Linked DNA regions of Caenorhabditis elegans. The protein of the gene in region 1 interacts with the protein of each later gene in a pairwise test. Each region holds a gene or a part of one and is shown on either strand. Other genes may lie near its edges. The genes, in order: gar-3, frm-1 and vig-1.

Region 1 (12,401 bases):
CATACAGTATTAATTCCCAATCGAGGTTTTTTGGAAAATTTGAAACAATTTTTCAAACTGTGTCTCAAGCCAGGCCTGTACATAGTTTTAATATGTATATTAGTAGTCAGGCACGCACTGAGAAATACGTGACTGTCTATCGCCTACTTTGTACATTTTCAAATTTGTCATCATTGCAGATTTATAAAAAAGCATTCGAAGTTGACCAATTCTAGATATGCACGTTAATCAGGCTTACGTGTCTGTAAACTAAATAATCAGTTAACAATGTTCCAGGCTTCCTCGTGAGCATCAGGCCGGCTTAGATAACTATGTAGGCAGCGAGGCAGGCATTAGCTATTTTTCAAAACCTTCAAAAACGGAATGCCCCCTGAATTTCTCCGTGAGCTCTCAAACAGCTGTCGGATCATAAAACCTCTAAACCTTTTACGACTGTGAACTCTTACTCATTTGTTCGAAAACTATAAAATGCTTCGATCATTCCATTTTCCCCCCATATTCTTCATATTTTCCCAAAACAAAACAACGCAAAGGAAAGTTGTTGGCACCACTAGAAAGATCAGATCAACCGATAAAAAATGTGTGCTCCTTTTTTTCCCCGCACAGGCTGCTGTTCCCAAGAGTAAATGCTCATTTTGTTTGTACGTCTGCATCTCTTTTTCACTCTTTATTTATTTTAGAAAGTTTATGATGATGATGATGATGATCGGAGAGTCGGGGGTGATATTGATATGAGATATATATGTGAGATTCGGGGCGAGAGAGGCCAACTTCTTATTATATCTCGTGGCTTTTACCCTTGCCGATAGATCGCTTTTCATCAACTTTTTACACTTTTTCTTTGTCAATATAATTGTTTGAATTGTTACTCGAAGATAAAAGAAAACTGTAGATTATTGGAAATTAGAGATATTTTTACAAATTTGTAATTTTTGGCATTCAATTCCGATATACCGTATACTGTTGAGCACACAAACTTTTTAAATTTGTAGGCACAAAAATGCCATCCTGCCTTCAGTGGCAAAATAGAGACTACACGGTAGGCAGGAACGTACACCCAATTTCTGGGGTGTTTATTATTAGTTCACATCGTCCACACATGCTCAAAATATCCAAATAATCGCGAAGCATCCAAAAACGTGTGTGACAAGTGGTCCAAGGACATGCTCTTTTATAAACAAAAACTTCACAACTTGGTGGGAGCAATGCTCACAGACATTCACTACTAACACTTTCGATAGAGAAAAATGAAAGAAAAAGAAGAACAATTGATTATTCTTCCTTTTTGAGCTACTTTTATATTTTTGCTTTGCCATTTTGAAATGAGATCCGCTGAAAATAGTTCAAACTGTAGTTGTTCCAGTTGCTTTGAAGACAACATGTTTTCCCGGTATTGGAAAAAATCACATTTTGATACGATCAGAAATCTATTCATTATCATTCATGAGATCTAATTGTAAGTAGGCTCCTGCCTAGCTGCTTTAAAGGCAAGCTACGCCTACCTTGTGCCTACGAGCGTGTCGAAAGGCATAGTAAACATGAAAATACGCTATTTCTTCTGTCAGATTTTCACCTTATTGTTCTACTTTGACCGCTTATATCTTAATTGCCAGGTATTCTATTCAAAAATGTTTAACTGAAAACAATGTTTTCTAACTCTTTTTCTATGAGCGACTCAACGACCTCAACAGTCCTGGATGATTTTAAAGTAAACAGGTAGGCATTGAGCAAGCCTATAGGATACCTTTCAAACCTTAGAACTCTTTTTATGGTAAACTCGAAGGTTTTGTAGGAAGTGAACATTCGAAGATCTTGAAATGTCGAGGATTTCTAAGAATAAGTTGTTCCAAAAAGAGTTCTCAAACCTTGCGTCCCCAATTTCGGAACCTGGGGGGATTCAGGTAAAACCTCAATATATTTCCTGTTTCTTTTTCCGTTTTTTCCCCTTCTTGTTTCCCGAGAGCCCTTCTACCTTTCTCTCTATATCTCTCTGTCTATCTCAATGTTTCCACTATTCCTGAGAAGAAAGTCAAAACGTGTGGTGCGATGAACCGTCATCTAATAGGTCGCTTGTGCTCCCTTTTTGTCCACTTTTTTGCCTGTTCTCTCTTCATCTCCCGGGGCACTTCTTCGGTTTTTGTTTCTATTCTCCATCACTTCTTCGTTCTTTCTCTCCGCCCCCTTTCGGTTAGGGGAGAGCAGAAAAAGGTCCACTTTTTTATATTAAATGTAATTTTTCTTTTCGAAGCACTCTTCCTTGTTTCAGACAATAAGCAAGAAATACATTTTCTCAAGTTTGTCAAATTTCTTAGGTTATCAATTTGTTTATAGCAATAGTCCATTTTGTAATCTCATTTTAAGAATCTCAAATCTTTCTAAAAATCTAATTTAAATGTGGGTGATGTCACGAAGAAATCTTGTCTCGTCTCCTCCATATTAGAATTGCACTCACGACTCAAATGTAGTAGTTGAAAATCCACTCCTAACTTTTAAAAATTTACTTGATGCCAAATCCATTAAAAAGTGTACGGTATTTGAGAGCTCAATTTTTAATTATTCTTCCAATAATTGATCAATTATATGGAGCATTTTAAGATTTACGATTTTTGAAGTACACAGATTTCCTCTCCATTTCAAACTGCTCAACTAGTCGTAAACTTTAAGTTATGTATTTAATCGTCGGTAAAGAGTTGGAAAAACATAACTCTATTACTCAAAAAAGTTCTCACTGGTCTTAACTGATTTTGGCTAATTTTGGTAAGTTATTGGAAACTCCAGTAAAAATAATTGAACCCCCAAGCAGAAAATACGAATTTCAAATTTTTGAAGTCTAAACTCGTAAATGGTAGCCTTTCGTGGACCATGTAAAGTTTTACCGTATTTCCACTATTGCACCCGGCGGTTTTACTTTGTGAGCCCTTATCTTGGTTATTTTTAAAGATATCAAAAAAAATATTTCACTAGAATATAATAGCACAAGAAATAACAAATATGTAGGTTTTTGACACTTTTTTTTATAGAACAACCAACAACTAAGATATAAGCAGTCAAAGTTAAACAATAGAGTTCAATACTGATAGGAAAAATACGGTAGTAAAATTCTGGATCAAATTTGGAAATGAAAAATTACAGTTAAATGGTAATTTTTAGTATTGCATTGTGCATTATTATTTAATTTTGGAGAAAATTTAATTATTTCATTATTATTTAACAAAAAATTTAAAGTTACAGAAAAACTTACTATTTTCTGAACCTTTTAATAAAAGTTAATCACATAAAACTTAAATTTTTTTTGAAAATTCGAAACGTTTTGAAAAAATCCGTTCGAACGTCTCGCCATCCACACCTCATGCGTCGTTTGTGGTCCAAAGTGCACGACGAGAGACTAGTTTGTTTTTTTAACATTCAAACCACATCATCATTATAATCGTCAAAGACTTATGAGCTCACACGGAATGAAAAAGTTTTGAGCAAGAGCGAAAGAGAAAAGAACATTGGGGAGCCCCACCGGATTGAAACCTGATATTAGTGGTCCTGTTGGGAGAAAAGGAAGGACCAATATACTAGTATATAAATGCCCTTCTTTTTTTCACCCTCTTTTTTACACGAGTTTTTTGTCACCCACACCACTTGAGTTACCGGCCACCGGAAATAGACCTGAAATTCAAATTTATAATCTAATTTCCACAAAATTAATATATGTACATGCTCTTGTACCTTGTGTCTTCAAATTAAATTGTATCCTCCCATATTGTTAGTTCCCAATTTCCAATTCAAAAAATGTCGCCACAACAACATTCTCAACAAAAAAAAAGAAGGTCCTCCTCCACTTGAAGGTCTTCAAAAATTCATATGAGGTCCCCCTGTTAACACCACTTTTCATCTCCTTTTCCCCGGTTTTATGATGTTCCATATTTTCTTTTTCCCTTTCCCAGTTTGTTGTGTGTGTTGCCAAACGAACAACGTTTCTTTTTTACAGGATCACCACAGACGAGAGGATGCAGTCCTCTTCGTTGGGGAATGCTGATGATCCTCGATTCCGGCAGACACACTTATTCCAGATGTTGGTGAAGGTAAGTAGTATACGATATTTGTTTTATCTAATTGAGGGAAAAATTATGATTCCACGGGTCACAAATCACGAAATCATCTCGGAAAAATAAAAAAAAATTAAATAGTAAGAAAATGCAAAACAATAAGTACTTGCATAGTAATTTGCAGACACTGTTTGTAGATACACCTGAAGACTGAAGACTGAAAAATTGGAAAATTCACCAGTACCAAGAGTTTTTAAAGGGGCGCCTTATAAATTATTGGAGAATGAAAGCACATATCCCTTCTCATTTCGACTGATCTGCTAAAAAAAACCCAGCTAAAATTATATTAACATTTTGAAATTATTTTTTGTAAAAGTAAATTAGAAGTTAATCAGATATTTTTCCAAGACACCTTTTGATCATTTTCCAGTATCCCTACAATCCCACCTATCTACTTTTATTATCCGCCAATAAAACAAAAAGATGAAAGCTCATTCCTCATCAGATAATAAAAGAATGCTCGTATTGGACACGTTAACACACAAAAAAAGAACTTCCTATTTACCAACTGCTAGCTCCAAATACTTTTTGTGATGATCAATTAGTGAGATTGGATAGATGAGAGGGTGGAAAAAATAAATAGTTTTGCAGGAAAATAAATGAGGAAAAGATTAGAAAAATAGATTGATGAGAACTGAGGTGGGGATTGAAGGAAACAAATCTTGAGGGGAGGCTTTGGAAATTTTTTTTTCACAGTGATCATATATGGGTGTACCGTGGATTAACTATAAAAATAACAATCAAACTTTTCCAACTCACATTTCATGTTTCAGGTGATAAACACGTCGGCCGAAAATGCGACAAAGACAGCGATTGCGACATCATCCACCTCAACTCCATCCTTTGTGGACACATATTCCACGTCGTCGCTGCTCGGTGAAGAAGGTCGAATGGTTATGATAGTTGTCATCGGTGCAATGTTCGCATTAGTAACCTCACTTGGAAATTTGATGGTGGGTGTAAAAATCAAAACCTATTGGTAATGTTGTGTGAACATAAGATTTTTTGCAGGTAATGGTTAGCTTCAAAATCGACAAGCAACTTCAGACAATTAGTAACTATTTCCTGTTTAGTTTAGCCGTCGCAGATATTGCAATTGGTGAGTGGTTTTTACAATAAATAATCATAGCTGTATGTCGCAAATCGCCAATAACTGATAGAAACGCGACAGTGTTTGGCAAAGAGTGGAGAACAGTATGTGATAAAAATATGTGAGTACGGAAAATTGGTACAGAAAGATACAAAGGTGCTCCAAAGTTCGGCAAGGTGTGTGAAAAAGTTGGGAGTGGGCGACAGAAAATTGAAAGTTTGCGACAAAAAGTGGACAGTGAACAAACAGACCAAAAAGGCGAAATGCGAGAAAATGCGACAGAAAATACTTTCTCGATGCACTGTTCACATTAGTGAAATAAATATCATATTTCAGGTGTCATATCAATACCCATGTTCACATACTACACTGCAATTCAAAAATGGGATCTTGGATACACAATGTGCCAGTTCTGGTTATGCATCGATTATTTAATGAGCAACGCATCCGTCCTGAATCTTCTGCTCATTTCCTTCGATCGATACTTCTCAGTGACACGACCGTTGTCCTACAGGCCTAGAAGAACAACTAAAAAAGCATTGACAATGATTGCATGCACATATATAATATCCTTGATTCTATGGCCTCCATGGATCATTTCATGGCCGTATATCGAAGGAAAATTCACTGCAGAACCTGGAACTTGTGTCGTACAATTCCTGCAGACAAATCCGTATGTAACAGTTGGAACCGCGGTTGCTGCATTTTATCTTCCTGTTACAATTATGTGCATTCTGTACACGAGAGTATATTGGGAAACTCAAAAACGACAAAAAGAGTTTGGAAAGCTTCAAGCTACGCAGGTAATCATTCATTAATTTAAAAAAGTTTCCACTAATCCAACTAATCAGACTTGGGCAAGCGATGTGGTAGATCGGCCATCAACTCAATCATTCAGAAATTCTAAAATGTGGAAAAAAGTTAAAAAGGTTCAAATTTAGAAGCTACCAAATTTTAAACTTTTCTTTTGCATTTATCATCATTTTTCGATTTTCAAATTGTTATGATTTTTTTGAATTCGATTCCCAGACAACTTCTAAGCATGACTATTCTCCTTCAGATTACCCAAGTATTTTTTCCTAAAAAGTGGAGTAGCACCAATGAGGATTTAGTTTTAAATTGCAGAAAAATTGTGAAATAATAATTTAAATAGCAAAGGTTTGAAAACTTGTTAATTGGTCGGAAATATTATTTTTTCAAAATAGTTAAAAGGAAACTAATATTTCACAAAAAATCATATTCGTAAAAGTTTTAGAGGTTTCGACAGCTCTATTGGAAATATTTCATAAAAAACGAACAAGAAAAACTGCAAGAAATAACATTGCTGAAAAAATTTTACTGAAAAATTGTAAAAAAAATCTTCATAATAACCACACTTCGCAGCAATTGAAAATTAATTTTGCCGTCTGAAAATTTGTGCTGAAATGAAGTAAATTTTCTGACAGAAAAACCTTTATTCATAGTTTTTTTCAAGAAATTCAGACTATTATCTATCATTTGAAACAAAATTCCTACTGACGCTACTCCATGGTTAATATATGTTTTACAAAGTCTAATTGATTTTCTTTCCAGTTCTCGCGTCGATCAATGAAGCGGGATGTATCCTCCACTTCAATTATCAAATCAAGTGGTTCAATGAGAAAAAAGAATAATCAAGATGGATACGTTGAAGATAGCGTGACACCTTGTACTTCCTCTCGGAACTCGAAACGAAAATCCTGGCTTAGAAATTGCACTGGAAAATCAAATTCTTCATCTGAAGATAGTTCAGAAGCAGTTGCAATGAACCTGGATGATACTTCATTGAGTTCAAGTCATTTTGCGTTGAGTGGGAGTCGAAGGAGAAACATTTCACCGCCGTGCACACCGATGCCGACTAATTTTGTAAGTACAAAGTTGCAAATTATTACGACTGAATGCCCCGACTACTATTTCTTTTTTTTTTTAATTTTTAAAGTTTGAATTTCCAGGAAGACGAAGAGCAAACTGATGCGGGAGCATCTATGAGAAATGGGTCAGCAAGGTTTCGAAGTCGCCCATCAGACACTGGAAAGAATAACAATTCGGACACCTATACAGTTTTGATTGAGTTAAATGACGAAGGAAGCCGTCCAAGTGTTCGATTAAGTAGCTGTGAACCTTATTTAGAGTGAGTTTTATTGGACAATTTGTACAGACTTTTTGAAGTCAGAAAAAATGTGGAGTGGTTTTTTACTGGATTCGGAAATTTGAAAATCTTTAAATTGGTTTTTCAATTGTTCTTTTTGGCTGCTCCCAATTGGCTCTGTGGGTTATGAGGAATTTGAAATTTCGGGGTACTTTATTTAATTTGTTCTACTTCACCAAATTGGTAAGAAACAAATAACTATTTTGCATTATCATGTTTACACAATCAAAAATTTTTGCAAGCTCATATTCGATATGGTTTATACCGTCGAGCTGAAAAAAAAATCAAAACTATTTGAAATACACCTAGATTGAGGCGTAACTATTGTTGTTTTTTATCTGTTGTTTCGAAATTAATTCCGAAGCTCAGAATGTCAGTAACGGTATCGAACATTTGTATCAATTGGCAAATTATCTGAAACGAAGTATAGTGAAAATTTCCCATAAAAATAAAAAATAAGCTTATTCAGAATTTGGTGGTGTTTTTCCACTTTTTTTGTGTACTGCCCGGACATTTTCTGTATTTCTTTTTACACTTTTACTTTTACTAGTATGAAACAAAACAATGATCTGATTTCCAAGATTTTCCAAATTGTAGAGCTCTTGATCTTTACAGTGACGAGTTCTGACAATGTTTCACACGTTGCTCCATTGCTAAACCTTAACAGTTTTCCATTCTTCATCAATTCCATTTTCAGCGAACCGATTTCCACACGGAATCGCTCAAAAAGTGATTGTAATAGTGAGATTGACGAGCGTCGACACAGTCTTCTCAACAAGCAATCACCATTCAAAAATGGAAGAATTCTTAAAAACTTCAGTTCTCAAGAGCGCAAAAGTGAGAAAGAGCAACGGAAGAATGAAAGGAAGCAAGAGAGCAAAGCAGCTAAAACACTTTCCGCCATTTTGTGCGCTTTCATCGCCACATGGACACCATATAACTGTGAGTTCAAGAGATCAAAGGATTAAATTCATTATTAATGCATTTCAGTGATCGTTTGCTGGGAAGCGTTTTTTCCGAACACTGTTCCAAATGTTTTATGGACGTTTAGTTATTTCCTTTGTTACATCAACTCGACTATCAATCCACTTTGTTATGCTCTTTGTAATGCAAGGTAAGGATCACTGGGAGAATTAAAAAGAACTTGTTAGAGGCATAGCACTAGTGGGAATTTGCCTCAATTTTAAATTATAGTAGTTATGAAAAAGACGAAAAGCACAAAAAAATCCAAGAAAGTTTAATGCAAAAACTCAGAACAGCCAAGCTCTGGGCCGAACCTATTAATGGTTTTTCTTGTGTCTGGTTATTTTTTGAATGTTTATTAAATTCTGGTTATGAAATTTGAAAATGAAAATGACGACTTCAAGCACTTTAGTTTAAAATCATAAATAATGCGGTATGAGGCTCGTACGCAACGGCCAAATCTTCTTCCACAAAACTACCCATTATGCCAAAACTTTCCAGATTCCGTCACACATACATGCGAATTCTCCGTTGCAAATTTAAAGCGGAACGTCCCACAATGAATCAGGGATATGTCCGACGCAACTAGAGACTCAATCAATCAGTACAAAAATGTGCACAACTCCCTTTGCCAAGATCTCGAAACACTTGAAACAGTATATTAGATGCATTTGAAAACCGGTCCAACATCATCATTTTCTAATTTTTTTCAACTTTTTTCTTAACTTTTTTCAAATTAGTTCGAAATATTTGGTCTTGTTTATCAACATTCTTCTCACCGAATCATTGCTCATTCATTGTTGACGGGTTTTTTAATGTAAAGAAACTCTTTATTTTTATTATGTTCTATTTTTTAATGAGTCACAATTATTTAAAATCTGAAAAAAAAATCCTGGAAGAGAAACTGCATTCTTATATTCAAGAAATTTACTCAATTTATGCTTCGGAACAATTATAGCAAGACCAAAAATGAAAACGCAATGTTTTTTATCATAATTCTGTTTGAGAACATCTGTATTAAGAAGTCGCCCATGTCAAAGTCTGTGGATCAAACCTCTCCGTCTCTTTAATAAGATCCCAGTCATGAGAACATCCACGAATTGCATAGATTGCTTCATTCGTAGCATGAAGCTTAAAATACTTTCTTCCCGTATTCATCGATGGCTCATCTTTCCATGTATTTGTCAATGGATCGTAACTTTGAAAGGTTTTTAATGTGTTGCAAGGGGTGTTCCATCCACCAGCCACATAGATTCTTCCACGGAATACACATGCACCAAAACCTGCACGTCCAACCATATTACCACAAACCTCAAACTTGTCTTTCGAATCTGATAATTTCTCAATAGTCTCTTCATAATCTTTTCCATTGAAGCCGCCAAGCACTGAACCATGATTAATTAAGAGAAGGTTGAATTCTTGCTAGAACTTACCAAAAAGTTGTCCATAAAATGATACAACTGATGCATCGGCGCGACGGTTATTTAATGATGGGCCTGTGGTCCAGTCTCCTCCAGTTTTAATATCATAAATCTCAACTGAACTCATATATGTCGCATCGTATCCTCCCACTGCGTAAATTGCGTCCTCATGAATACATGCAGATGTCCGAGTTCGTCCATGCATTAGCCTTGTACACTGTAAAGCTTTTTGCTCATTAAATTCACTAGCTAAATAAACAAACCTCTACACGAATACCCTTCTCTTTATCAAACATCTCTACACGATTCAAATATGTTCCATTATTCATTCCTCCGATTATAAAAACTTTCGTTGAACTGGATACCACTGCGTAATGGGATTTTGGATTAGGAAGTCTTCCAATAGGCATGAAGCTCATTGTATCAGGTTTGAAGTATCCAATGAAAAGTGGCTCGCGGGAATTTTGTTTTCGATCTGAAAAAGAGAGAAGATAGACAATTAACTTGCGCTATTTCCATCCGGATGCGCGCACGGCGATTCTCAAACGGCCGTGATACGCGGATCGTGCGGTCTTCTATCACGATCGGCTCATTGTGGCCACTGAAGTATTTTGTGCAAATTGCAAATTAACTATATACATAGTATGATATAACCTGACCGCTGAAGCATTTTGTGCATATTGCAAATTAACTATATACATATGTAGTATGATATAACATTCAAAGCTTCAGCGATGCCTCCTTGAAAACTTGCGGTACAAGATATCCTAATTACAACGAAACATCTAAATTTGTCCTTTAGCAATGGATTTGAAAATTCCAGTATATTTTAAATTGTGAAATATACAGAAGTTAGCTAGCGATGTATGCATAATGTCTCACAATCAGTGTCAGAATCAGACATTTTGTTATTAACATACAAAGAGAAATCTTACCTGCTACCAAAATTGGATCCATATTCAGCACACCATCATCAACCATAAAAATTTGTTCTTTGGAATTCAAAGTATTAATATAGTTCTTCAATTTTGTATCAGCAACTTCCATCAATGAAGTAATATCATGAATCATTGTGATGCATTTTAAATTATCTTTTCCTTCGTATAATTCAAAACTTAATATTCCAAAAAACATTTGCAAAGTTTGAATCAGATTTTCGGTAGTGTTTCTGAACTGATTTCTCATTTCTATTGCTTTTGGATGCTGTGTTTCTTCTGATTGTGAGTCACTGTGGTAATCAAACTCTGATGCACCAGATTCTCGATCTGATTCTGAATCTGAAAATATCTGAAATCGAAAAATTATGAACATATAAATAAATTAGCATTGTCTCACGTGATTCGTCATTTTTTCGACACCAATAATTCCTTGCCTGTGACGAGGAATGCCAAGAGAAGTTATCTGAAAATCAAACGTTTGAGAAAAAATTAGTTTAACAAAACTAAAAGTGAAAAGGAAAACTACAGAATAAGGATAAAGCCTACGGTACAAGCTTTCTTCTTTTATTCTACTTTGATCTATGCTGCGTTGCTTTATAAGTGTGTATTTACTCAACAACTCAAAAAAATTTCAAAGCATTACTGAGGAATCTTTTAGCGCCGAGAAAGCGGAGATGACAAATCTTGCTAACATTAAATTTATATAGAATTTTGTATTCATTTCATGATTCATCGAGTTTGTCTGATTATGTATCTTCTCGTTTAGTGAAGAGCAATAAAAACAGTTTGTTATTTGCTTTTATGATGCTATAATTTCAAAATAACGTAGTAAAGTATTCAAGAACTATTTGGAAATTTCTAATTTGCATCCAAAACTATATCAATTTTGACTGACAGACGCCAAAAAAAACTAATCTTCTGTGACTTTATTTTATTTTGATTCCATTTCAATTGTTTGTATTAATAATAAACATTGTAATTCTTTGAACCCGCAGAGATGCTCAAAATTAACCAAAAAAAATCGATTTTTTTTGAAAACTAGTCAACTTACCAAAACTTTGACTGAAAAATTTTAAAACCGTAAAACTCTTTACAAATAGAGCGTGTTGTTTTGACTGCCAAAAGTTATTAACGTTAGACGAAATCCCGAGAATCCACTTTTAAGGTAAAATGTTTTTTACCTTAAAAGAGAATAAAAACTGAAAAAAAATGAGTAAATCAAATAATGGTCCGATAATATAGAATCGGAATACTCTTTGCTGAAAGAACCTGTATTTTTATCGAAAGAAAAATGAGGAATCGTATTATCAATGTGATACTGTAATTGACACATAGAAATTCCTATCCAGTTTTAGAAATGGTATTTCATATTGAAAGTTATTAGGAAATTATTTTTTATGTCATCTTGACTGAAGACTTCACAGAGGCACAAGTCTTCCTAGATCTCAGAAATATATCCTGAAAAAGCGATTTAAAGCTGAAGGTGGAATGAAGAGTGGAATGAGTGAAAAGGCGTTTTCATGACGTCACACGTAGAATTGATTTCCACTCAGTTAACTCACAAAAAGTCGTTCAATTTTTGATAAAAACTTTGCTTGGAATTTTTTTTTGCTGAATGTGGTTCAGGTACACGTCACCAAATATTCCTCACTGTAAACCTGAAATTGTTTCCTCTTGCTCATCTTTTTTTTACGGTTAGAAATATAATTTTCATGAGTTCTAAAA
Region 2 (9,850 bases), on another chromosome or scaffold:
AGTAGCAACTGGGGAGGCATGCTTTTCGATTCTTGACGAATCACCATGGTGGTAGACATTGGAGTGCGCGGCAATAGTGACGTGCTGTAAATCGCGTTCTAATGATGTTGTTTCGAGCGGTCCGTCGTAGGAAGTAGATGGGAAACCGTAGGCTGCCGGAATATCTGTTTTGCTTTCACCATTGGAGTTTTCTGACGGTTGATATGCTTCGACATTCTTTGGCGAGTATGCGGGATGAGTTCCGTGCTGAAAAGGGTGTTGCTCGAGATCGCTAGTACGACCCGTAGTATCCAGGTCTCCAGTGAAAACGTTAGATTTTTCTGGGTATTCAGTACCTGCCGGTAATTTTGTGGGCCGGTTAAAGAATCCAAACACGGAGCTTCCCTCTTTCTTATGTTTCTTATGAGCAACTTCTTCGGTTTTACTCTCGATTCGGGCAATTAGTCGAACTTCTTTCTTTTTAGAAAGGTTAGCATCGTCTGCTCCCAGAGAGGAAATCTTAGATCTATCTTGTGACAAAGTGCTCTGTCTTTGGATACTCCACGATTTCCCGTGATGATAGACAGCAGCATGGGAACTAATAGGAATTTGATCGAGTTCTTTCTGACGATAAGTTTCTTCCAACATCCCGCTATGAGAATCAGTGACAAAGGAATACTTCTCTGGTTTCTCAACAACGTCTTCATCTCCTTCGTGGCGGATACGAGCAATCAGACGATATTTTTTCGGAACTTCTGGGCTTTCGACAGCCATTAGACGTTTCTTGTTTCCGCTGTCAGATTTTGATTCCACAGATGTGATGATCGTTTTGTCTTGCTTTGAAGAATACTGTTGCGATTTGTTGGAGTGTGAAAAAGTTGAAGGTTCAAGATCATCATCACGATGGGTAGCGTCAAGTTCTCCGGTAAACTGAGAAGTCGATTCAGGGTAACCAGATAATGTTTGAGAAGTTTTCTTAGTGAAAAATCCACCAAATCGGCTCCTTTTTTCTTGGCCTTCGAAAGACGCGTGATCTGTTTTATTGGAAGATGGAGGAATTTTCTGGTTGTTCTTTTTGCCTTTTCCTTTTTTCTCAACGATTCTTGTGGTTACCACTGTTGTTGGCGTGGCAGCTTCATTAGTAGACCTTGTCATTTCTTCAGTAGTATCAGTAAGATTTCCACTGCGATCAACACTAGCCGACAGACGAACTCTTCTATCAGCATCAGGAGATTCTCGACGAACTTTTGTTGACACAACTTGTTCCCGCTGAGAAATCGTTGCATTCAAATTCGATGAAGACTGACCATCTCGTCCATCTCTATTTGTTACAGCTAGTGGATGAACATGCGTAATTAAACGATATTGGGGAGTATCAGGTTTGTGAATCGAATCCCCATGATGATACCGGCGTGTATACTGCTGAATATTGGCTGGCTGAACTTCTCTGCTTAACTCAGTTCGATGAATTGGGTCACTAGCCAAAGAAGCTGAGAAGTAGTAATCCTTTGGATCTATTTGTTCCTTGATGTCCTCCTTTCCTGGATGACTCAATCGCTTTGCAAGATTCCGCCGACTAGCTCCAGAATGTCTAACATCGACATAGAATCTAATCGGTTGTTGATCCATTTCTCCATCAGGCTGCAAGTTGTCAACATGACTAACTCCATTTCGAGGGGTATAGTTTCCGAAACCGTAAGGCAGTTCTGGACGTTGTTGGCGTCGAGGACTCAGTCGATCATAGTGGCCTTCGTGATAAACATGCACAATTCTTTCAATCGGAATCTGCGGGAGCTCACTGTACGGATAAGTATTTGGAATCGGCTCATTTGGGTCTACAGGTTCATGGAAAGAAACTAGACGAACACTATCCCTAGACGCTTGAGAACTTCTTGCGTCCGACGCCCGACCAAACAGATTTCTGCGGGCACCCGAGTTCGATGGTCCAGTAGCTGAAGTTGAAGCTGTTTGCCTCATCTGAACATGATACTCGCCATGATGTTGTCCTTCAAAATAAACAGGACTAGTTGGACTCGTATATTCGGATGGAGGATAATAGGCGGATGACGGAGTTCTCAACGACGATCTTTCAGACATATAGTAGGCTGCCGACGAGTAGTTAGAGGAATCATCGCCGCGTGGTGAATACGACAACTCGTGAGGACTTTGCTGGTGATGACCAGAAGTGGAAACAACAAGAAGAGTCGAAGGCCTAGAATACTTGGCAAATGTGGCAGTTGATACCGCGTCATCGTCTTGTCTCGATGATGTGTAGGACTTCGGTGTCAAAGCGCGTCGGTATCTCTGAAAATATAGGAAGGTCAGAGATCGATACACACAAATAGCCACTACCAGACGCAAACTAAACCGAGGTTTTGTGGTGCACAACTAAACTACAAACTACAAAAAAGCTAGACGATCAAGACAGGAAGAACCTGGATGTCCGAATAGCCTCAAAACAGAAGAGAGCAAATATACACACACGATGACGATGATGTTGACTTCTCCGATACTATGTTACTACAACGAGGTCTCCAGAAGACCTTATGACGATGACGATGGCGATTAGCAGGAAACTCTCTAACGGGAGTGCGGAGAGAGAGAGGGGTTAGAGATAGAGAAAGAAACAATTGAATTTTGGAGAGAAAACACCATCGGGCACATAATTGAACGAGGGGAGCTATCTTAACCCCCTCTCCACGCCGTTACAATCATAATGAACTGTGGTAGTGTCATTTAGCTGGAAACTGTATAGGTATGCATATATTTAAAACTGAAAACTCTCGAATTTTCAGAATTACAACAAAATGAGAGAAAAGTTCACGCAGAAATAGAAGAGGGGACATTGCTATATATTGAAAATTGTACAGTTCTTTAGAAGAATAAGGGGAAGAACTATGAAGAAAAAAGTTGACGTTTTAGCGGAAAAGTTTGAAAATTTTTGAGTAGAAAGAAGAAACATGTGAATTTTGTGTTTGTGCTTGAGGGGTTTTCGGTGGTTTTTCTCCAAAATTTGAAAAGCAGTTATTGTGATGTGAGCGATAGAAAACACAAAAAAGCGCTCTAAAAAGCGTTTCATGCAAAATAATATTAGAACAAAAACATAGAAAAGCACACTGGAAACCAATTAAACTAACCTCAAATTGGCGCTGCTCCAATTCCGAATCCGTGAGATTGAGTGTTTGAAGTTTCTGATTCTCGGCTGCTGTAAATTCATTAATAATGTATTTCAACTATTGTAATCAAAAACTCACTTGCTATTGGTTGAGACATTGCAGATGGCGCTCTGTCCACTGTCGATGGTTTATCAAACATCTGCGAGGCAATCTTTGTCTGGAATTGAGTGCGTCCTTGATAGCGGAACCGCTGGGAGCCAAAGTTGAAGAATGATTTATGTGTCTTGTCTTCAGGTTGGATCAGTCTGAAATTAAAGATTTTATTTAATTTTAAGAAATAATTTTTTCAGACCCGTCGAAATTAAATTTAAACGACAGAGATAATTATTTAATCGTAATTTTGGAAAAGCATGTTCGACAATTCAACAAAACAAAAATCAATTTCAGTTAAACAGTTGAAAAAAAATTGATCCATCGAGCAGGAATTCGAAAATTAGAACAAAAATTATTTTTCGACTCCTGCAAGATGAAAAATCCGAAATTTTTAGATAATTTTAGGCAATCTTCACGTATTTTTTAAACTTCTCTTTTAGAAATTCAGTTTTTGAGATAAGTTATTCTCAAAAATTACCTAAAGAAAGTGTGATGTTCGACTGCACACTTCCAAGTCCTCTTTGCGGCGACATGGTTTGGCAACTTGAAGTACAATGTCTTCTCATTCTTCTCGACAGTCCCTGCCTTGAGCTTTATCGAGAAGTAAGTACGACGATATCCGATTTTGATAATATTCTGCCAGCTGAAGGAATGCGTCTTTTGCTCGTCTTGGTAAATGTTTATTCCGGCGGCACCGATTCCAACGTCCACAGGCTTCTTGTCCTTATCCTGAAAGATATTTTATAATTATAAAAACAAAGCTAATTTGGGCATTTTCGAATAGTTTTTACTCCTTTACAGGTGGAACAGAGTCAAAACATTTTGTGCTTTAAGTGACAGAAAACCCTAATGACCGAATATGACAAATTTTCATTCAAATTTAATAATAATTCGATTCAAACATCCAATGCGTTGACTGGCTAAATTTACCAGTTTTCCTGATTTTCTTTTTATTTTTAAGTTAAAACACCGTTTTTCAATTTGCCAAACACTTTTCAGTGAATAAAATTTGATCACCCTCAAGAAATTGGCGGAAATTTCAAAATTAGCTTAAAAATCACCAAGCTGATAAATTGAAAGAGAATACTTAACAAATTAATTATTTTAGACAAAAGTAAATACTACTATTTTTTTCATAAACCACTAAAAATATTTCTTCAAAATTAAGGACTTGAAGAATGAGCACTAAAAGAAGAAAATGATAGAAGTTTAGATGTTAATTTAAGAAAAAATATTTTCCTAGTGGAGTACTCGAGCAGGAACCTTTTTTTGTCGAAAAACATACGGAGATTGCCTTGAAAAGGTGGATTCCGTAGAGAGCCAGGTGCTTGCAGTGATCCAAAAATTGATTTTCAGCTTCAGAAGGCGTCTGTCCGCGCATCTCTCTGTGCAAATCGACAATCTTCTTGTATGTTTCCGGATTCGCTTGTGCTGATGGCACCAGCTTGGACGCCACAATGAACTGCTCGTAGGCATCCGTCATCTCTGCTGGAGCATCACCGAACTCGATTTGAGCGACAAACGATCCGAGAAGAGAATGTGTGTCGGCAGTAGCTGGAAGACGTCCGGTGAGGAGATCACGTCTGAGTTGAAGGAAGACGTAGTAGCGAGCGTGATCGTCGACGATCGTTGTAGGTGTGGTCGGGTAGAATTTGACCTCGAACGAGAATTCCCAAGGAAGACCTGCAAAATTTGACAGTTGGTTGAAAAATTGATTTAAAAAAGAAAATGAAATAGGTGGCCGCGGGAAACCTCTTACACGGCCATGTGTTGATTTACGCAGTTTTTGGTTGAAAATTGTTCGAGATTTCGATGTTTTTCAGACTAATTTTTTTTTTTGAAACAAAAATTCCAACTTTCAATATTTTCCGCTTTCGCTCTATAAAAAATCAGTAAACTTTTAAAAAAGACTCGATTTCAAAATTAAAATTATCAGATTTTTCGATTTTCTTTGAAATACACAGAAGATTTGAGAAAACTTTGCGAAAAATGTAGAAAAACTATTTTTCTTCGAGGAATACACGAGCTGCGTAAATCGACACGTGGCCGCGGGTTAGAGTTTTTTATTATATTTTTAAGGATAATATTCCTAGATTCTTGTAATTCATCAGGGAATTTACAAAAAAAAAGGAAAATTAATACAACTTTGGACATGAAATCGATTCAATTTCTTTTCCGAATAAGAGAAATATTTTTATTTACTTGAAACAGCTTTCCAAAAATTTCAAGGCAGTTTTTTTTTTTTGAAAAAGCGGGGGAAATTAGCTTTTTGTGAAGAAAATCCACATTTTTAACCAAAATTTTCTTTTTTTTCTCATTTTTACCTTTAATCTGTTTCGCAATATTCTTATCATTATATAGCCAATGTCGTGTTCCCTCATCTTTGTCGTAGAAGCACAGCGAGAAGTATTCGCGTTCCTCAATCGATAGATCTCGTGTCACTTGTCGGAAAAGTGCTTCTCCTTCCGAGTTTTTCTGTAAAAATTTAGAATTTAGCAGTTTTTCCGGTGAAATTCTTCAAAAACTTACATTAACCTCAAACTCCTTTTGAACTCCGTCGGGAAGAAGAACTTTTGCCAACTGCATTTTCGAATCTCGTGGCTGCTGGCTAGTCGTTGGGTGTTTCTGGTCTCCGGGATCTCTATCGGTACCCATTTGCTCTGAAATGTGGAGGAAATTAATAAAAATTAGAAAAAAAACTGCAACTTTCATTGAAAATAGAAGTTTTAAAAGTTTATAGAGCAAAAGAAAGTGTTAAAATTTGAATTGCCCGGCCGACAGGGAGGAGGGGGGGGAGTAATGCAAACGCGCTCTATTCGAAATGCCACATTTTGTTCTGTTTTTCTGCGAAAAAAAAAGACAGAAGGGATGAATTGGTGTTGTTGGGAGAAAAAGTAGCCAATGCCCGGCATAAAAAACGCAATAAATTCTGGGAGGCATAGTAGAGAAGGACAATAAAGAAAAATTACACCTTTTCTCCGGTACCCGCAGATTGTGGTGAGAAAACATGAAATATTAGGATCATTTGAAGGTGGAAATGAAAAAAGAAAGAGTATTGGAGAAAAACAGTGGAAGAGTTAACTAAATTTACATTCAAAGTTGAAGAATACTTTTTTTTTACTAGAAATAAATACGAATTCAAAATTTTGGCTTTGACGATTTTAATGGGAATTTATAACGTGAATTTTTACGTTTTTATCTTCTGAAAAACAAAAACAAATTTATAAATGCCAGAGAACGTGAAAAAGTGGAAAATGTGGATTCGCAGCGCGAATAACACTAATTTTTGAGAAATGAAGATTTCGTGTCGAAAGTTTGCAGGGAATAAGTTAATTTTTTAGCTTTTTAATTACTTTTTAATTAAAATACAATAAATGGTAGGAAAATAGAAAAAAATAGAGGAAAACATCGAAAAAACGGACAAAATTTGTCTACAGTAAACTTAAAGGCGCATAGTTATGTTCGAGTGGGTCTCGCCGCGACGAAAACGTTTATGGTGGAAATTTTTATTTTTTTCAGGAATTTATTAGTTTTTAACGATTTTCCTTGATTTTCGTTAGCTTTTCAATAAGTAATTCGTATTTTTTAGTTCAGGAAAAAATAGGAAAACATCGAGAAAAAATTAAAGTGATGATTACAAAAATTGCTCACGAAATCCCGAATAAATAGAAAATTGCTACCACAATTTTTTATCGTGGCGAGACCCAACCGAATACATTCTTGAGGCGTTTATTACACGTTTCTAAAAAGCTTGTGAACTTGATAAAGTGAAATCACGATTAGTATTTTTAATTAGAAGTTTTCGATAGAGTAATTTTCTCATTGTCAGTCATGTTGGTCGCTACAAGACCCAAAATACACATTATTGGCAAATATCACAATAAAAAATTGTTCACATAGTTTCAAAAGAATTCCAATATATCAAAACAGCAAAAAATAATGCTTACGGAGAGCTTCAATTGATAGCAGAGGTGCACACACAACTGTTGCTATTTCTGTGCTATTTGTTGCTCTCCTCTCTTATTCTCGCCACCGCCATCAGGATGAAGAAGACGAAACCAACAGGCGTTGTGTTGGCCACAAAACAGCAGAAAAAAAAAACAAAAACGTTTAGTTTATTACACTGTTTCATTCTATTCTTTTCATCTCAGTCAATCACAGTAGTGGGAATTCGGAGGCAGAAAAGATGAAGGCGAGAGAGGTGTTGCAATGAGACAATTTTTCGCAATAGCAAAGAAGAGAGAGAACAAACAGTTTTTATTGTTGAACCAGCTTGTAGATTGACAATGTTGCCGATGAGAGAATTATTGGAGGCAATTAATTTTTTGGAAAGTTTCCTTCCGCTGTTTCACAGACCTAGTTATGACTAGCTTTAGAGACAGTCAACATCGCCCCTCCTTGTTTGACCTTTGGAAATTAAAAATATTTGGCAATAGATAACAACTGCCAAATCTCAAAAATTGAGGAAATTATCGAATTATCGAAAATTTGAACGGCCCAGTTGTAATTGCCACCAACCACTGCTCCGAACTTCAAACTACCCAATGCAAAACCGTTACCAGAAGTGAAAAATGCCCAGCATTGCCAAAACAAAATTTCAAAACATCTCCAAACAGATGGTTCCTCTTGGTTCTGACACTATGCCCTTGGTCACCGTATGTCCGTCCCTCACAAAGAGCATAAAAATTGAGAAATAGTGCAAGACCTTCCAGATGCGCAGACATTTGTTGGCGCCCTCACTCCTTCATTCATCCAATCTATCGACCAAGGGCACCAGCGCTCAACGACACACACGGAAAACAGTGACAATGATGGAAAAAAGCGGACAGAATGACTGGTAGTTTCCAATATTTGGGCGGAGTTTGAGGGTAATTTTTGCTAGCGACGAAACGAGAGAATAGTGGAGTAAGGGAGAAAGAGAGATGCAGGAAGAGAAGGCCAAAAGGATTAGTGAACGTTCTTTTTTGTTCGAAAAATGTGTAGAAATTCAGTAGTGGAGAGGAAAATAAAGGAGAAAGCATGAGTCACAACATTCGAAACTTAATCTTTGGTTATTTGTGTTAATATTTATCAACTATACATGTTGCGATAGACGATTTCATTTTTGACTAGTTGCGAAAATTCTCGACTAGGGAGAGACCAAAGTCAAGCACAACTAAAGTATTTCAAGTGTATATTGATATTAACTCAGACAGCTTCATGTCATTGAAACACCACTTACAACGTTCCACGTGTACTCTAATTAGTGTCGGATATAAGTTTTACTGCGATAAGTAAATGTTATCAGAAATGTGGACTCACTATCAGAACCGCGCCAGGCCGGGACTTACCACTGTTTGCCTAGATGTCTTCTCAAGTTTCACTAAAAAGGCGTGAAAAGTTAGTCTACTCCGTTCCCGTTTTTCCCAAGAACCAGTCACAAACTAGTTCTAGACCACCCATCAATTTCTAAGATGCATATTTACATAAACTACTCACCGCTTCCTAAGGTTTCCGTACTCTCCATTGTGGAGATTCTTGCCAAAATGAATCAGGGGACAATTCTCGAATTTCAGAGAATATCCTGTTTAGTTAAAGAAGGAATCAGAATGGAAACCAACACGAATGGTTGCGGAATGATAGAATAAAATGAAAACTGTGTGTGATAGGAGGAGGAGATAGGCGGTGCAAATGGATGGATTTTAATGGGGGGTTTGATGATTGTTTTCTATTTGAAACATCAAGAAAAAACACGGATGAATCATTCAGGAATTTCAGCAAAATAATGAAAAATGGAACAATTTCTGGAAATCAGTACTAAATGCTAACCAAATATTTCGACAAAAAACGAATCGAAAAAATGATTCGCAGCGTATCATGGAAAATGGGGAAAAATGGGTGGGAAAATGAAAGGGAAAGTGTATGTATTTATGTGTATGTACGATGGAAGCGAGAAGCGAGAGGGTGCAAACAAAAACAACACCGTCAACGGCAGTAGAGGCCGGAAGCTGCAATAGAGAGTACTGATGCGGAATGAATTGAAGATGCTGATGAGGGGCAAAAAAGTGGGCGAAAATTGTTGCATTCTTAAGGTCGACGAGATGTCACTGCATAAAATGTTATGTTATCCAAATATCTTAAAAGGAAACATTTAAAAAACGTATTAGATATTCATCAAAAATCTTAACAAAAAAAATCTTAAGGTGGAGTAGTTCCAGTGGGGAAAATGCTTAAAAGTATTCCTATGTAGTCAAAATGACCAAATATCACAACAAAACTTTTCAAAATTTTTTGAAAATTTTTTATTTTGTGTCAAAAAGTGTGAATTGCTCAGTTTTGCCACTCAAAATTTTGGAGGTGCTTAAAACCAATTGTTTTTTTTTACATTTTTTATACTGTAATTTTTATTAAATTATTTGTATTAAAACATTGTAGGGGTGCGAACATGCGAGATTGCTTTAATTTTCTAAAAAGATCAGATTTGTCAAAATTTTGGCATTTTGCCAATACTTTCTGTATAATACGATCAAAAATCACGTATACTCTTTTCAATGGGTTTAAAATTCATTTTTTTAAGACTCACCCTTATCCCCCGTTATTATTCAAAAGAAAAATAGTTTTAG
Region 3 (9,129 bases), on another chromosome or scaffold:
AAAATCGGCTTTTTCCGATTTTTTGTTAACCGAAATTTTTTTAACCGGAAATTTCGATCTACATCTACCTAAAAATGTAAATTATTTTAAAAAACTTGCTGAATTTTGTCGAAAAACTCCGATAATTTGAAAAAAAAAACTAAATTTTAGTTTAAAAAAAACTGGTAATTTTCGATATTTTCCAAAAAAAAAAACCCAAAAAATCCGCAAAAAATCGCAAAATTCCACATTTATCAAATTTTCAGCATGGACGACACTCACAGCACGGCGAGCAGCTCAAAATCCGACGATAAAATGCTCAATGGCTCGGCGCCGGCTCACTCACTGTTGGATGCTCCAATTGATGAAAAACCGAAGAATCTTCCCGTTGTCGACGACGAGGGATATATTGTTCGAACGACGACAACTTCTGAAAATAATGCCGACTCATCAAATCCAACAGCATGGTCCAGTTGTTCTAGTGATGAGGAGGAGGACGAGGATGAGCTTCAAAAGTCGAGAATACGGAAAATGACGATTTCCGATCGACCTGTACATATTAATGCGTCGGTTGATGAATTGAGAGATGCTATTGGAAGTATTACGTTGACGAGGAGTACCACTTTTGAAAGGGTTCGTTTTTAAGGGGAAAAAATCAATTAAAAAACGAAGAAATTGGTCTGCTAGACTACAAACTACACAACTGGATGAGTCTGCGAGACTAGTATAAACTAGAAAAAAATTAGAGAAACCAACAAAAAAATTACAGTCGGAAATGGACAATTATGTACTATTAAAGTTGGGTCTGCTAAATCTAGTTTTGTAGTTTGTAGTCTAGCAGACCATATTTCTTCAAACCCACTTGGGTCTGCTAAATCGAAAATTGTAGTTTGTAGCCTAGCAGACCCAAAATTTTCAATTTTCGCAAATTGGAAACTTGATGAGTTTTTCATTTTTTCAGTGTGGAAATGAATATTTTTCGAATAGAAATTTTAAAAATTCAAGTGTTTTGCGATTTTTAAGTGGAAAATTTTGCAATTTTTGTGTTTTAAGACAAAAGTGCGTATTTTCATATAAAATTCTGAAAAAATCAGAACTTTCGGCGGAAAATTGATCCAATTTTGAAATTTTTGAGTGAATTAGCATTGTATTCCAAAAAAAAAAAACTAATAAAAAATAAAAATTTTAAGCTGACAACAAACAGTTTTTAATATTGGTCTGCTAAATCGAAAATTTTAGTTTGTAGTCTAGCAGACCCAAACTTTTGTGTTTTTAGATTAAAAAACACAGTTTCAAAGAAAAAATGCCTGTTTTTACCAAGTTTCTTGGCTTTTCAGCTCAAATTTCCCGGTTTTAAATGCGAATTTCATAGATTTCTCAACAAAAAAATTCAAAATTCCATTAAAAATGGCTGAAACCTCAAAATTTTGACAATTTGTAGGGTCTGCTAAATCGAAAATTGTAGTTTGTAGCCTAGCAGACCCAAATTATTGTGTTTTTGGAGTAAAAAAGCACGTTTTTACTAATTTTCTTGAAATTTTCAGCTCAAATTTCCGGTTTTTGAACCTATTTTTGTAGTTTGTAGTTGAAATCTTTCAGGATCCCTGGACGATTGGCGGAACAAAAGCTCCACTGATGTTCTCTCAGTCGATGAATGTCTCTTCCCTTCGGCAACCTCTACGCTCACATCACACTGCTGACGGACGGTTTAGGACTAATTTTAGTGGTAATTTAATATTCTTTCTTCGATATTTTAAACTTTTCTAGTAGAATTTCCTAAATTTGAAAAGAAATCCTAATTCCAGAATCCGAGGATCCTCCTGCCTTCTCCGTTTCCATGGGTCATAACCAGGCGATGGCGGCCGGAATCGCACGAGCTCGGCCCCGAAGCAACACTCCCACCACGAGCCAAATGATGAGCCGGAAGGACTCGGCGAGCAGCTTTATGGATCCGTGGAGTAGTACTTTCAATTTGGCGCCCAGTGAATCGAATCATTCCCTTGGAGAATCCACGTTTAATTTGTCACAGTCTACCGGGAATTTATTGCAGGTAAGGCTTCAGGCTTCAGGCTTAAGATTCAGGGTTCAAGAAACTCGAAAATGTTGATTTTTTTTTCAAATTTCAGGCCACAATATCCGAACAGCGAATTCCGCTAGCCATGGCCATCAACGAGCACGTGCATGTTTGGTTCAAAAAAGGAGCCGAAGAGTTCATTCAGCGCACTTTCGGCACCGTAATGATATCATTTCCAACGTCATCAATAACTCTTCTCACGTCCATCCAACACGAAATTGAGCCACTAGCATTCCGGCTCTCAAATGCTAAATTCATTAAATCAGTGCTCCCCAACAAGCAACTTATCGATGAGAATGTGAGCAAAAAGGACGACGAGATGTGCATTTTCTACTTTAACAAGACCCATCTTGCCACGTGGCTTCAAGCACAGAAGCTCGCGAAGCCGGATGCGGCATTTGTGAACGCGGAGGTCGCGCGGTTCGAAATGGAGCCGACGGCACCGTGTAATATGGTTCCGCCGCTATTCCTGACGTCGTACTGGAAATTCGAACCTGGACACACTGGTTCGTCGAGAAATCTTCTGTGTTTTTGAGAAAATTTGAATTTTTAATATTAATTGCGAAAAATTGATGGGTCTGCTAATTAAGAGTTTGTAGTTTGTAGTCTAGCAGACCAAAATTTCCTAAAAAGCGCAGTAATTGATTGGTCTGCTAAATAAGACTTTGTAGTTTGTAGTCTAGCAGACCAAAATTTATTAAAAACTGCAGAAAATTGATGGGTCTGCTAATTAAGAGTTTGTAGTTTGTAGTCTAGCAGACCAAAATTTATTAAAAACTGCAGAAAATTGATAGGTCTGCTAAATTTGATTTTGTAGTTTGTAGTGTAGCAGACCAAAATTTATTAAAAACTGCAGAAAATTGATGGGTCTGCTAATTAAGAGTTTGTAGTTTGTAGTCTAGCAGACCAAAATTTATTAAAAACTGCAGAAAATTGATAGGTCTGCTAAATTTGATTTTGTAGTTTGTAGTGTAGCAGACCCAAATTTTTTATTGAAATTGGCAAAATTGCTGAGTCTGCTAAATAAAATTGAGTTTTTTGTAGTACTTTTTAAATGCAAACGCCAAAAATAAAGCCTAATAATAAAAATCCGCATTTCTTTTCAGATCTCCGTGTCGACTATCGCCTCAACTCAGAATCTTCCATCTCGGCGCCACTTCTCAACGTGAATTTCAGCACAAATTTGACGGGAAGCGTGGATTCTGTGATGTGTGAGCCAGAAGCCAAATGGGTGGCTGGAAATCCGTCACTCGGCTGGAATTTGCTGGAAATTTCAAGAAATGGAGATGTGCACGGATCGCTGAAAGCAAGGATATTTATGAAGAATTCTGGGGTCGGGCTTTTTAATTGCTTTAAAATAAAAAATATATAATTTTCCAGGACGAAGTAAGCTTGGAAATGCTCGATCGGAAGCCGGCGCAGGTCTTCGTGCAATTTCAGGTACTAAAAACTGAAATTTAAGCTCTTAATTTATCTTTTTCAGTGCCTGGAAGCCAATCTATCTGGAGTGGACATTTCCCTAGTGCAATCGGATATTTATCACCTGTCTATGATTCGTAAAAAGGTGCTCGCTGGTAAATATTTTTGTGATCCCGAGCTGCGGAAATAGAGAAGATGAAGAGCTTTTTAATTTGATTTTTGTTTTAATTTTTCTGTGTAAATATAGCATAATTCTCGCGAAATCTGTGATTTTAACAAACTTTCAACTTCTAGTTTTCCAATTTTTCACCACCAAACGAGTTTTTCCACTATTATTCGTTATCCCCCGCTGTAATAAATACTTTTTCCCGGCATTTTTACTTTTTTTACACACATTTTGGGCTGGAAATGTCATAAATTTCTTTTCAAATACTTTAAGACAACAAAAACAATTGGAAAACAAGTTTTCCCCCAACCAAAAATTGATTGAAAATGGCCGAGGACTAGTTTTCGATTTCAAACTGCCGCCCATTTCGGCGGTCGCATTTGGCTGCGTAGCGGCTCGCAAACGCCAGTTTACACTATTGTGATACGCAGCCAAACCTTCACCTGTCCGATTTGAACAGTTTTTCCGATTTTTTTTGACCGTTTTCGCCGGTTTTTTGTAATTTTTTGGGTTGCTAGCAGTAAATCACCGATTTTTGATCAAAATTGCACTGAAAAATGTTTATTTTATTCCGAAATAGTGGATTTTGAGCAATTGTTGATTTTCTGACTTTTGATTCGATTTCTTTCTGGAACATTCAAAAATTCCCTTAAGAAAATGCAATTTGCTTTTTTTATTTTTTGATTTTAGTTGTGAAAAGTGCTTAACTGATTTAAAATATCGCAACGGTGTCTGGCTAATTATACTCTTTTCTTAAATATCGATTTTTGTTTGAAAATTTGAAATCTAAACTAACGTTCTTGCAGGTATCCCCATATTATGGGTTATTGATTAACTTGGCATTGAAATTATTGAATTGAACAGAAGCTTCCTGCACTTGGAATCTTATCTTCATCGAATCAACACAAACAGCAAAAATGAGCACTGAATACGGTTGCCAGGTCACCAACAAGTTCGGTCTTCCATCCGACGACGACGATGGTGAGTGGTTGATGATGATGATCGCCGGATGATTATCTTATCTTCCCGATGGGATATTGCGCAATATTCATATGCGATATACTCCGCCCAGAAGACATTATAAAAAATCGATAATTTGCAGAGTATGACGACCCAAGAGAGCTCATCCAAAAGGTGTCTCAAATCGCCGCCAAGAAGAAGGAGGAAAAGTCTGTGAAGCCCGCCCAGCCGGTCAAGCCAGCCGCTGCTCCAGTTGGTAAGAATTGGCATTCCTATTCTTAAATTAATTAAACATTATTTCAGCCGCCACCAAAACCGACGGTGCTGCTGGACGTGGACGCGGAGGACGTGGTCGCGGACGCGGGGGAGCCGGCCGTCCACGTGACGGAGAACGTGTCTCCAACGAGAACGGTGATCGTCCACAAGGCGAGAACCGTCGTGGAGGACCCCGCAGAGGCGGTGAGCGCGGTGCTGCTCGTCCAGCTGGGTAAGAAACGCTTAAATTTTTAATTTTTTTTTTCATTTTACTGAACTTTGTATTTTAGACGTGGAGGCCGCGGAGGATTCACTCGCGAGAACAGAGAAGGAGAGGAGCCAAAGCAAGAGGTCTCTTTCGAAGACGGACAAGATACCCGTGCCCCAAGACGTCGTGGAGGATTCACCCTTGGAGGTGGACCATCTGGCGGACGTGGAGGAGGCCGTGGTGGACGTGGGCGTCAATTCGATCGTCAATCCGGATCCGACCGTACCGGAGTTCGCTCATTCGACAAGAAGGACGGACACGGAAAGGGCAACTGGGGAGACCAGAAGGACGAGTTGGCTGGAGAAACCGAGAACATTGCTCCAGAGGGCGCTGAGAGCACCGAGCCAGAGGTTCCACGTGAGAAGACCGCTGAGGAGCTCGCCTACGAGGCTGAGTTGGCTGTTCTTGCCAAGCAAAAGACTCTTAAGGAGTTCAAGGCTGCGGCTAAGGTGAGTCGTATAAAATATTAGTTTTGGAATTTATTTTTTTTTTTGTTTCAGGCTGACGCTCCAAAGTTCAACACCAGAAAGGCCGGAGAGGGAGCCGCCGATACTTTTGGCAAGCTCGTTCCAATCAAGAAGGAGGTCATCCCAGATCGTGAGGAAGACGAGGTCGTCGTAATCCACAAGGCTCCAAGAAAGCAAGTGCTCGACATTTCGATCACTTTCCGCAACGATCGTCCAGAACGCGAGCGCAACGACCGTTCTGAGAGGCCGCAACGTGGAGGACCAAGAGGAGGTGGACGCGGTGGAGGCCGTGGAGGACAACGTCAAGGAGGTCATGGAGGACGCAACAACACTCCATTCAACGCTTCTGACGATGCTTTCCCAGCTCTCGGTGCCAAGTAATTCCCCCCCCCCCACTCAACGACCTTCAGCCAACCAACCAATTCGCCCGCCCTCATTCAAATGCTCTGTTCTTCTCTCCATCTTGTTTTCTTCAAAATTCTCCTCTTTTCAATATCTTTGCCTGTGCCCATCTACCCCACAAATTGTTCGTTTCCAAAATGCCTGTTTCTTATTTTTCTTTTTTTTCTAGTTCCCCCATTTAGCTTGTTGTTGTTATCACCTGCCTTATCGATCTCTCTTCTGATGAGTTGCCCTCGATTTGGTTTGCTTGTTATCTCCCGTTTTTTCTTTAATTTTTAAGCCCTTTGAATCCCTTGATCTTCCACATACACCCACCAAGACGACCTCTTCTTTACCAAATATTTGACACAACAAAAGGTCTCAATTGTGTCAAGGATCAACGAACTAGTACTAGGAAACTCAATTTGTGCCCCTTCCAACCACCACCCCATTGCGCCCAGGTTTCGTTTTAATTGGAGTTTGTTGTTAACAAGATTTGATAAAGCATCATTTTTGTGTTAAACACCCCAATCATTCTATATCACACACACACACAAACACCCATTTTTCTTCTTTTTGCCTCCACACACCCCCCCCCCCCCCCCCCACCCAACTGTATCCGTATTTTGTAATAAAACGGTCTAAACCAACCACAGGGGCGTGGCCTGACACATGCCATTTCTAGGCCGCGAGCCGAGTGCTCTGATTCTCTGCCGCCTCTTTTAGAGAGCCGCGACGTCTTCTTCAGCGGGAGAGAGGGAGCACCCCCCCCCCTCCCCATTGCTCGGCAAAAACTTTTGCTCTCCTTTCACTTCTTATTGATTTCCCTTCTGTTAGCCGCCTAAATTAGAATTTTTAATTCTTCAGATTCTCAATAGAGCGAGCTTGCGTTCGAAATAATTTAATTTTTAATTAAATCTTCCTGCGACTCTTCTCTCTTTGGAAATTGCTATTTCGCAAGTTTAGTAACGATTTTATGACAGCAGCGGCGTCCGAATTTGAAATTGAATTAGGTCCCCTGAGAAGCTTTTTAGACTATAAACTACAATTCTGAAATGGCAGACCAATGAGAATTTGGTCTGCTAGACTACAAACTAGAGTCTGTGTTTAGCAGACCCATGAGCTTTTGAAGAGTTTTGGTCTGCTAGGCTACAAACTACAAGTCGTATTTAGCAGACCCAAATTATTAGAGTTTCGTATGGGTCTGCTGGACTACAAACTACAATTATTTAACAGACCAATCTTAAATTAAAAATTGACTGAATTTAGGGATTTTTTTTTCAGTTTTTAGCTCTCAAGACACTGTTTACAGCAGAAGAGAAGTACAATTCATTTTATTTTTAAAAAAAATGCTCAAAAATGGTTTTTCCCTTAAATTGGTCTGCTAGACTACAAACTACACAAAAGAATTAGACCCAAGCTGACGTGAGTTTTGGCCGATTTTTGAAAGTTTTATCATGTTTTGAATGAATTGTGCTGCTGTGTAACAGATAATTTTTCAAATATTCAGTTTTTGTCAACATTTTGCGAAAATTAGAGCTTCGAAATGGGCCCCCCAAATTGGTCTGCTAGACTACAAACTACATTTTGTATTTAGCAGACCAAAATCTTGAAGACCCCGCGAAAAGTTGTATTTTTTCTCCAATTTCCCCTTCCTTTTCCTAATTGAATTCCGTGCAATTCAGTGCCCCCCACCCGAAGCTTCTTCTCTTGTCTGACCTAATTTGATCTACCGGGATATCGGAGTGTCGTAGTGCTGCCACGTCATTTTTTTCTGTGTCTCCTTAAATACATACTAATTTTCAATTCTAGAGAATAGGAAATTTATGTAGACTATTAATATTAATGTTTAAATAAATTTATGAGGAGGGTTTTGTGTTTTGGGTCTGCTAGGCTACAAACTACGAAAATTTGTTTAGCAGACCCATTTTTTTTCGATTTTTCGATTTTTTTTTTACTTAAAACTACACTTTGTCTCGTTTTTTAGCGATAATTAAAAAGTTCTGACTCAATTTTCAAATTTCCGGGGTACTGTAGCGCCACAAGTACGCAAACACCGAGCATCTTACGACAAAATGCACAGAAACTTAAAATTGTCTGAAAAAGATGGACCAGGGGGTAAAAAAAGGCCCTGAGTTTGAATTTCATAATGAAAAATTGCTAAAATTCATAGAATTCAAGTCATTTTTTAGTTTCTAGTTATCAATTTTAAAAAGTATACGTTTTTTCTAAAATTCCGCTGTAAACTACAAACTACATTTTGCCACGTCATCGTTTTATGCCCCATATCCACGTATTCATTAGAAATTCTGTAATTCCTGAATTCATTTTGGCATGCATTCTATCTATAAAAAAGAAGATCGAGAAGAAGAAGAAAATGAAAAAATTCGGCGTCTTCATGTGCTCCTTAATCTATTCCAACATTTTTTTTTTGGTCTGCCAGACTACAAACTACAGATTTAGAACTAGCAGACCTAAGCTTCTTGCTCAAATTTGAAAATTTCCGAAAAAAATTGCAATTGTTTTTCCAAATTTCCCGTTTTTCGAGAATTTGAACAATTTTTCCCGCGTTTTCTGCACAATTTTGACGTTTTTGGGTTACTGTAGCGCCAAAAGTACGCAAACACCGAGTCTCTCACGCGAAAATGCACAGAATCTCAAAATCATCGGAAAAAACAGTCCCAGGGGTGAAATGAGGCGCTGAACTTGAATTTGACAGTTAAAATTATCAAAAAATACCTGAAAACATTGAAAATTCAATTTTTTTAGTTTTTTCTTTCAAAATTTCTTTTTCGGAAGATATATTCGCCTGGAAATAAATTATAGGGCTATATATTAAATTTCTAACATTTTTCTTATGTTTCCTGCTCAAATTTGTCTTTTGGGGGGTACTGTAGCCCCAAAAGTCCGCAAACACCGCACACCTTACGCGAAAATGCACAGAATCTCAAAATCCTCTGAAAAAAGTGTTCTAGGGGTGAAATGAGGTGCTGAGATCGAATTTCAATGTGAAAAATTATGAAAATCGTTGGATTTTGAGAAATTTTTTTGGTTTTTCGAAAAAAACCTGCACCTCCCCACCCCCCCCCCCCCCCCTCTTTCAGGGGGTACCCCTTAATCTATTCCCACTCATTACTACATCTTTTTTTTGCTCTCATTT

What was found.
Region 2: the proteins of gar-3 (region 1) and frm-1 interact in a two-hybrid assay, tested with the Caenorhabditis elegans proteins (one study listed by BioGRID).
Region 3: the proteins of gar-3 (region 1) and vig-1 interact in a two-hybrid assay, tested with the Caenorhabditis elegans proteins (one study listed by BioGRID).

Annotation. Positions count from the first base shown.
Region 1 is NC_003283.11:14,561,573-14,573,973, reverse strand, and holds gar-3 (Muscarinic acetylcholine receptor gar-3), read left to right. Parts: upstream 1-3,998; coding exon 3,999-4,073; intron 4,074-4,870; coding exon 4,871-5,050; intron 5,051-5,108; coding exon 5,109-5,196; intron 5,197-5,523; coding exon 5,524-5,990; intron 5,991-6,038; coding exon 6,039-6,116; intron 6,117-6,759; coding exon 6,760-7,071; intron 7,072-7,157; coding exon 7,158-7,336; intron 7,337-8,051; coding exon 8,052-8,296; intron 8,297-8,344; coding exon 8,345-8,468; intron 8,469-8,818; coding exon 8,819-8,906; 3' UTR 8,907-9,154; downstream 9,155-12,401. Other genes in the region: C53A5.11 (Kelch-like protein 10), read right to left, coding at 9,335-9,702, 9,751-9,955, 10,002-10,213, 10,674-11,025, 11,074-11,085. UniProt on the Caenorhabditis elegans protein: The muscarinic acetylcholine receptor mediates various cellular responses, including inhibition of adenylate cyclase, breakdown of phosphoinositides and modulation of potassium channels through the action of G proteins.
Region 2 is NC_003279.8:14,891,460-14,901,309, forward strand, and holds the start of frm-1 (Moesin/ezrin/radixin homolog 1), read right to left. Parts: upstream 5,904-9,850; coding exon 5,778-5,903; intron 5,724-5,777; coding exon 5,573-5,723; intron 5,326-5,572; exon of another isoform or gene 5,104-5,325; intron 4,932-5,103; coding exon 4,534-4,931; intron 3,978-4,533; coding exon 3,727-3,977; intron 3,401-3,726; coding exon 3,234-3,400; intron 3,185-3,233; coding exon 3,117-3,184; intron 2,476-3,116; exon of another isoform or gene 2,371-2,475; intron 2,284-2,370; coding exon 1-2,283.
Region 3 is NC_003280.10:1,316,593-1,325,721, forward strand, and holds vig-1 (Hyaluronan/mRNA-binding protein domain-containing protein), read left to right. Parts: upstream 1-4,444; 5' UTR 4,445-4,555; coding exon 4,556-4,619; intron 4,620-4,740; coding exon 4,741-4,854; intron 4,855-4,901; coding exon 4,902-5,085; intron 5,086-5,143; coding exon 5,144-5,570; intron 5,571-5,621; coding exon 5,622-5,969; 3' UTR 5,970-6,481; downstream 6,482-9,129. Other genes in the region: fcho-1 (FCH domain only protein 2), read left to right, coding at 246-612, 1,579-1,705, 1,785-2,029, 2,106-2,559, 3,160-3,386, 3,434-3,493, 3,537-3,662.